Tribolium castaneum: one gene and its partner. The protein of the gene in region 1 interacts with the protein of each later gene in a biochemical or structural test. Links are inferred from orthologs where the notes say so. Each region holds a gene or a part of one and is shown in the gene's direction. Other genes may lie near its edges.

Region 1 (3,388 bases):
TCATTTTGTGTTTTCTTTATTAAATTTTATGAAAAAAACAAAAATGTGCCAAACCGGGATTCGAACCTCCTTCTCAGATAAATATGCTAACAACAAGTTTGAAACATTTTTCGTGTAATAATGTTTATTTAAAGGAAAACTTTTTTATAAAATAGTATGTATAGTATATAAAATTACAAAACCAACGAAAAATAAAAGTAAATTCTAAAATTAATTGATTTATTATTATTTTTTATTAATATCTGAACTTTGAATTTGTCTAATTTTTAAGCAAATAAAACTATTTTTTTGGGTGTATTTTTTTCAAAAATTCAAGTTTTTGGAATTTTTTGAAATTATCGGTTATTAAAATAATTTCTGTATGTTATAGTTTTTTGTCTTAATTTGTAGAAATCGATTTATTAATTTTTTTTTATTAATTTGTCGCAAAATCAGGTCTCGGAATTTGCTGAGTTTGCTTTTGTTTCTTTAATGACTCTCTTTATTGATTTTAAGCAAAACCTTGAATTCGTTTGTTATTTTTACGTCGTTTGACCGTGAGCTATTGATTCATGTAAATTTTCTTTTATTAATAAAATACTCGTCTCGTCCATATAATAAGACCCCCTTACATCACCCACATTTGTGTTTATTTTATTACATCACTTGTGATTTTTGCAGTAACAAAGCCATCGCTGATTACCTCAGTAGCAACGGTTACATGAACGCACTAGAAGCGTTCAAAAAAGAAACGGACATGCCCGGCGAACTCGAGCGCAAATTCGGCGGTCTTCTCGAAAAAAAATGGACATCTGTGATACGTCTCCAGAAGAAAGTGATGGAACTCGAATCGAAACTCCACGAAGCCGAAAAGGAATACATCGAGGGGGCACCAACTCGCGGCAAACGCAGTCCAGCCGAATGGATCCCCAGACCCCCTGAGAAATACGCCCTGACGGGGCACCGAGCCCCCGTCACACGTGTCATATTCCATCCGTTGTTTAGTCTCTTTGTATCGACAAGTGAAGATGCTACGATTAAAGTCTGGGATTTTGAGACAGGGGAATACGAGAGGACCCTCAAAGGCCACTCGGATGCCGTTCAAGACGTCGCTTTCGACGCCACAGGAAAACTGCTAGTTTCCTGTAGCGCCGATATGTCGATTAAATTATGGGATTTCCAACAGAGTTACGAATGCATCCGAACGATGCTCGGGCATGATCACAATATATCATCGGTGGCGTTCATGCCAGCGGGGGATTTTGTCGTTTCGTCAAGTCGCGATAAAACCATCAAAATGTGGGAGGTTTCGACCGGTTATTGTGTCAAAACCTTTACAGGACACAAGGATTGGGTCAGAGTTGTGCGGCCATCGCCCGATGGTCAACTCTTGGCCAGTTGTTCCAACGATCAGACCATCAGAATATGGCAGGTTTATACGAAGGAATGTCGAGCTGAGTTGAGAGCACACGAACACGTTGTCGAATTCGTAGCATGGGCACCTGATTCGGCTGCGAATGCCATCAATGAAGCGGCAGGAGTCGATAATAAGAAGGGGGCACATATGGGACCGTTTCTGGCGTCGTGTTCCAGGGATAAGACGATCAGGTGAGAGGGGGCCGCGTTTTACGCCTAAACTAGACGGCCGAAAATTTTGATAAAATCACAGCTAAGACAAAAGGGCGTGGGGCACGTCGTGGCCAAATTTGAACAAAATCGAACGAGCGGTTTCCGAGATATTGACACTTGTAGCTGGGAGGGGGGGTCAGCTGTAACACCAAAACTGGGCGTTCAAAAAATTTGGAAAAATCACAGTAGGGGCAAGGAGGGCTGAGCTACGCTTGGTGCAAATTTGGAGGAAATCAAATCATCGGTTTGCGAAATACTGGGGGTTGAATTTGAGGAGATTGGTCACGTGTAACATTGAAACTCTACGTTCAAAAAATTTGGAAAAATTACAGTAGAGGGCAAAGGGGCTGAGCTATATCTAGTACAAATTTGGACGAAATCGAACGATCGGTTTGCGAAATATCGGGGGTTGAGCCTGGGAGGGGGGCCGCTTGTAACACCGAGACTGGGCGTTCAAAACATTTGGAAAAATCACAGTAGGGGCAAAGGGGGCTGAGCTACGCTTGGTGCAAATTTGGAGGAAATCAAATCATCGGTTTGCGAAATACTGGGGGTTGAATTTGAGGAGATTGGTCACGTGTAACATTGAAACTCTACGTTCAAAAAATTTGGAAAAATTACAGTAGGGGGCAAAGGGGCTGAGCTACGCTTGGTGCAAATTTGGAGGAAATCAAATCATCGGTTTGCGAAATACTGGGGGTTGAATTTGAGGAGATTGGTCACGTGTAACATTGAAACTGTACGTTCAAAAAATTTGGAAAAATTACAGTAGGGGGCAAAGGGGCTGAGCTATATCTAGTACAAATTTGGACGAAATCGAACGATCGGTTTGCGAAATATCGGGGGTTGAGCCTGGGAAGGGGGCCGCTTGTAACACCGAGACTGGGCGTTCAAAACATTTGGAAAAATCACAGTAGGGGCAAAGGGGGCTGAGCTACGCTTGGTGCAAATTTGGACGAAATCAAACCACCGGTTTGCGAAATACTGGGGGTTGAATTTGAGGAGATTGGTCACGTGTAACATTGAAACTCTACGTTCAAAAAATTTGGAAAAATTACAGTAGAGGGCAAAGGGGCTGAGCTATATCTAGTACAAATTTGGACGAAATCGAACGATCGGTTTGCGAAATATCGGGGGTTGAGCCTGGGAGGGGGGCCGCTTGTAACACCGAGACTGGGCGTTCAAAACATTTGGAAAAATCACAGTAGGGGCAAAGGGGGCTGAGCTACGCTTGGTGCAAATTTGGCGGAAATCAAATCATCGGTTTGCGAAATACTGGGGGTTGAATTTGAGGAGATTGGTCACGTGTAACATTGAAACTCTACGTTCAAAAAATTTGGAAAAATTACAGTAGGGGGCAAGGGGGCTGAGCTACGCTTGGTGCAAATTTGGAGGAAATCAAATCATCGGTTTGCGAAATACTGGGGGTTGAATTTGAGGAGATTGGTCACGTGTAACATTGAAACTGTACGTTCAAAAAATTTGGAAAAATTACAGTAGGGGGCAAAGGGGCTGAGCTATATCTAGTACAAATTTGGACGAAATCGAACGATCGGTTTGCGAAATATCGGGGGTTGAGCCTGGGAAGGGGGCCGCTTGTAACACCGAGACTGGGCGTTCAAAACATTTGGAAAAATCACAGTAGGGGCAAAGGGGGCTGAGCTACGCTTGGTGCAAATTTGGACGAAATCAAACCACCGGTTTGCGAAATATTGGGGGTTGAATTTGAGTAGATTGGTCACGTGTAACATTGAAGCTCTACGTTCAAAAAATTCGGAAA
Region 2 (4,447 bases), on another chromosome or scaffold:
TTACGTACGCCTTTTAATACCAGAGGGTGAAACTTTTACGACACCGTCACCGCGATAAGGGGGCGACTTCATTGAAGATAAGTGTGCAAAAGGTCGAGTATTTGTCGTGGTCAAAAATTCCGAGGAATTTTGAAGCCTACGCAGTCTTTGAAGTAGTAAAGGCACAAGTCGTCCGTTTTGTTCCCTATTTTTTGGTAATTAACTGCGATAAGACCAAAGCGGAAACTTACCTAAAACGTGTGGCAATTTCTGGAATTTCCATTGCAGCAGCTAAAAGCCCCGTTGCGTAACTTTGCAGAGGTTCTATTGAATTTGTAGTCCATTTAATTAAACGGTGAATCAAATTATCCATATCGGGCTGAAACTAGTCGTTAGTTTTCCCCCCAAAAAAATAATTGACACGTACTTGAAACACCACTGATGTCTCTAAGCCAGGCATTACGTCTAGCATCAACCTACAAGCTGCAATATTCAACTGATCAACATCCTTGTCTGTGATTCCTGACCGAGAGTAGTACGTTTCTCTCAAATAATCGTTAACAAGCTGAAAAAATATTTATGTGTGTCTTTTTATGTTTTTGTGGAGAGTTAATACTTTGTTCATAAAAATATCCTTCCTAAAAAGCGCTTTTAAAATTTGGCCAAGTTTGCAGTCAGGATCAGTTCGTGAAGGGTGGCGTTCATCAAATGGGTCAGGATCCATTTTCAGGTAATTTTCAGTCTCCACCTCGCATATTTCGGCCAATCTGCCAACAAAAGGGTAAGAATTTGCCAAATTAAGGCAAGATCTACCTGGTGAGTGTCTGAATGGGGTCATAATTAGGCGCCGTATGTTCATCTTCCCAGTTTCTTATCAGAGTTGTGACTTCTGACATAACAGAAGTCGAATTGCTGTTTTCCGACATTATTGGCTCAAAACGTTATAAAATAAAGGGCATGAGGTAGTTTAACATAACCTAAAATACTTTACAGTTCCGTAATTGCAAGGTGAGATAATTAGGACACCGGGAGACTGGCAAAAACAATGCGATAATGTGAACTCTACACTTCTGGCTTGTAAAAAATCGTAATCAGTTTGATTATTTCACAAATTGGCGCAATACACATTCACAAAGCGCAAAACACAATTCTTGGCTTCCATTGAAAAATCGAGCACGTATGTTACTAAAAAAGTGCCGCCAATGGTACAAAAAAAAAACAGAGCTAAAATAAACCCTTGGGAAATTTAACGAATAGGAAATAAGCTTCGCACTATCGAAATATACACCCCCTTTGCATGTTTTAATTTTAATTTGAGGGTGGTCCCCGTTTGGCTAAAATTCCCACATTCGGTTGACCCATCAATGTTGGTACAAGCACCGTTTTTGGAAGTTTTCACGCCGATTGGTTTGGTTGGTACAATTGATATTTGGTCGATAGAAGAAAAGTCTAGCAATTTCCACGATTTTTGACCATTTTTTCACGAAAAAAGTCCAGTCAAGATGAGTGGCGATGATAATCAGACTGAGCAATTCGATTCCCTCTTCCTGTCAATAGCCCAGCACCATCCGCACGGCGCTTCGCAGGTGAGCCTCGATCTGTTTACTCTAACCTTAAAATCACGACAAAACTGTAGTTATTGGACACTTTTGTGAGTTTTCTAAGCCGCAAGACGGATTTTTTCACCGGGGGCGAGGAAGGAGCATGGGAAAAGGTAGTCCGGGGTAAAGCCAGTTCGAAAAATAATGACCTGGTTTTTAGTTAGTAATGAGCACATTTAGGAAATACGAACAAGTTAGTCGTAAGAAACACGAGACGGAGTTAAAAGAGCGTCGGGAACGTGAAGCCGCCAAAAAGAAGAAACAGCAAGAAGAGGAGAAGGTAAAACCGGCGGAAATCACCGAATTGACTGATGCTGAGGCTGAAAAGTTGCAAGCCGAGTTAGATGCTAAGAAAAGTGGGGTGAGTAATGGGGCCCCAGCTGTTGAGAAAATTGAAGAGGATGAGGATGCCTCAGAGATTGGGAAATTGAAGCCAAACAGTGGCAATGGATGTGATTTGGACAAGTACAGGTGGACGCAGACTCTCCAAGACGTTGAGGTAAGTCTTAGTTTTGTAGAAAATTTATTTGTATAATTTAATTAAAAATCAATTTACAAGATTTCCAAGGAGGTTCGGGACCTGCCTTAAAATTGTTCATAAATACTATACAATGCTGTAATGATTGCTTTTACATATCACAGTAACATCAAAAAATACTTATGGATAGCTTATGATTTAGAACAACCACAATTTTGGTCCAGTTGCTAAACCTAATTAAATAGGGAATTAAATAACTAACTACGATAAGTGCGCACGACATTTCAATGCTTCGTCAATTTTTGGAGAAATGTCGATGCTTGTCCTAATCCTAGTACCGTTGTCTTTTCGCCCTCACTGAAACAATAAAAAATTGGAAATTGGCTGAAATGAAAGCGGAAGAACTTACTTTCTAAGAGAAATATCGCCGCCAAGATCCCTATGGTAAACAAAGCGGACATCGTCAAAACTAGAATCGTCAATTGGTGTTTTCGACAGAAACTTCTTTGCCTGACCACAGGTCTCGTGTTCATATTAACTACGGTAAAATGCATCGAACTTGCCACTGAAACAGCATCTGGGTCTGGTTTCTTCAAATCGTTAACAGGCAGTGCTATGTGATCATTGTTGTTTGTTTGTTCGAGGTAATACTGAATGTTTTGTTGTCTGGTGTTTTTGTCCGTGTCCGGATTTTGTATTTGGGCCAGATTTGCTGCTGTCAGTAGTAACGAACCGGACCTTGCACTCTAAAAATCCAATGATTTTCTTGTCTTAATTTTTTTATTTGTACCTGTGTGCTATTATTGCTAGACGTCGAACCCTGCGAACTCTTTGAGCTTCTAGCTAGTGTGGGTCTGGGGATGTGCCAGCTCTTGTTGAGCTCTGCCGGAGTCTGCAAAAATCAATATTAATGTAATAAAGTAAGTGGTTATTTAATATCGAAGGTCGCGTATTTATTGTTAATTCATCGCATTATGCAAGACGGTAAGCAGGTGTCAAAACGAAATCGGTACATTCTCGTACCGTTCATAAAAATTTCGGATTAATTTATGTTAATTCTGATTTCGGCCTCGTTTTTTATTAATCAATGTACAATTTCCTTATTAAGCCCGTGTTTTTTTCATTGAGCGCCGAACGTGACGCTCATTTTTATTTTATAGATCGTGTTTGTATGACATTTTGTAATAATTGGCTTTGTTGGTAAAAATACACATTGTGGCATTTTATTGTTTGATTCGGTAGCATTGAATTTAATCACCCGCTTAATAAAAGCTGGGAAGATTGACAAGTAATCAGTGAAACACGCTAATACATTTTTATCTCGGTCACGGCCGCCGTTTGTAGTCTAATTTTTCACTAGTGGCCTTTTTCTCGGTATTCTTCCGATGATTTTCAGGCGATAATGACTGTAACCTCTCTCCTGGAATTCGGCGATGTTTTTATTTACGTCTTCTCACAATCGAACCGTCCTTGCTTCAAACCATTAATATTTGTTTTGACACATTCCGGATTCTGCTCATTGCAAGTGACGACATTTGTGGATTTTCTTGTTGCATCATGTTTTAATCACTTAATTCAAACAGAGACGCGTGCTTGGTGCTTTTTGGTAGTCGGAAGAATATTGAAACGTTCAAGGGTACAATTCGGACGAAACAATTGGAAGATAAATTACAAAGTTTCAAGTGAAGGTTTAGCGACCTAAACTTTATAGGTTTATGTAAATTGCAAGCGATTAATGAGTGCGGTATTAATCAACATCAATTAACTGCGTTCGAAGGCGACCTCCACTGCACATCTCAGTAGACAATCTAGATATTCTAATTTATTGAATAGTTACTATGCACGAAACGAATCATTATCACCAACAATATTTATAATCATCCTTTCTCCCGGGTTTGGTGAAATTATTAGAGCGAGCATTTCGGCTCTGAATTAATTCGAGTGATATTCGCTCATTTTTACTACTTCCTCATTTGCTTACATAAACATGTGAGTGAAAATTTCCGGGGTGGTGCGACTCTTGGATTTTTTGTTGAAAAATCTTCATTTAAAGTTATAATTTTAATCGTGTTTTCGGGTCAATGCCAGTCTGTTTACCTTATTTTAAATAATGGGAAAACAAGAGGATGCGTGTTTACACAACAAACTTCTCATTTATTTTAATCGGCCGTGCACGGCGAAAAAATTATTGATTCAAAAGGGACGATTTTTTCACAAGGAAGTTACTTTCACGAGCTGCGAGCTGTAATTATTTTTTCTGTTTTGTTTATTAATTGTCCGTTGTGATTTGATGTAATTAAGGAACTGAGTCAAGGTTTTGGGTAGGGTTTCAACGTCATGCATTTTTTCTCAAGCCGAGAGACCCTTTAAATCATGAATGCACCGTGTT

What was found.
Region 2: the proteins of Lis-1 (region 1) and nudC form a complex in vitro, tested with the Homo sapiens proteins (3 studies listed by BioGRID). The link is inferred for Tribolium castaneum from reciprocal best matches to the Homo sapiens genes PAFAH1B1 and NUDC.

The regions. Positions count from the first base shown.
Region 1 is NC_087399.1:2,663,031-2,666,418, forward strand, and holds part of Lis-1 (lissencephaly-1 homolog), read left to right. Parts: intron 1-660; coding exon 661-1,587; intron 1,588-3,388. UniProt on the Homo sapiens protein: Regulatory subunit (beta subunit) of the cytosolic type I platelet-activating factor (PAF) acetylhydrolase (PAF-AH (I)), an enzyme that catalyzes the hydrolyze of the acetyl group at the sn-2 position of PAF and its analogs and participates in PAF inactivation.
Region 2 is NC_087398.1:987,833-992,279, forward strand, and holds the start of nudC (nuclear migration protein nudC), read left to right. Parts: upstream 1-1,373; 5' UTR 1,374-1,481; coding exon 1,482-1,565; intron 1,566-1,615; coding exon 1,616-1,693; intron 1,694-1,740; coding exon 1,741-2,079; intron 2,080-2,086; exon of another isoform or gene 2,087-2,389; coding exon of another isoform or gene 2,390-2,415; intron 2,416-2,467; coding exon of another isoform or gene 2,468-2,804; intron 2,805-2,848; coding exon of another isoform or gene 2,849-2,950; intron 2,951-4,447. Other genes in the region: mahj (protein mahjong), read right to left, coding at 9-184, 231-358, 407-544, 596-746, 793-905; uncharacterized protein LOC656652, read right to left, coding at 2,390-2,415, 2,468-2,804, 2,849-2,950. UniProt on the Homo sapiens protein: Plays a role in neurogenesis and neuronal migration. Necessary for correct formation of mitotic spindles and chromosome separation during mitosis. Necessary for cytokinesis and cell proliferation.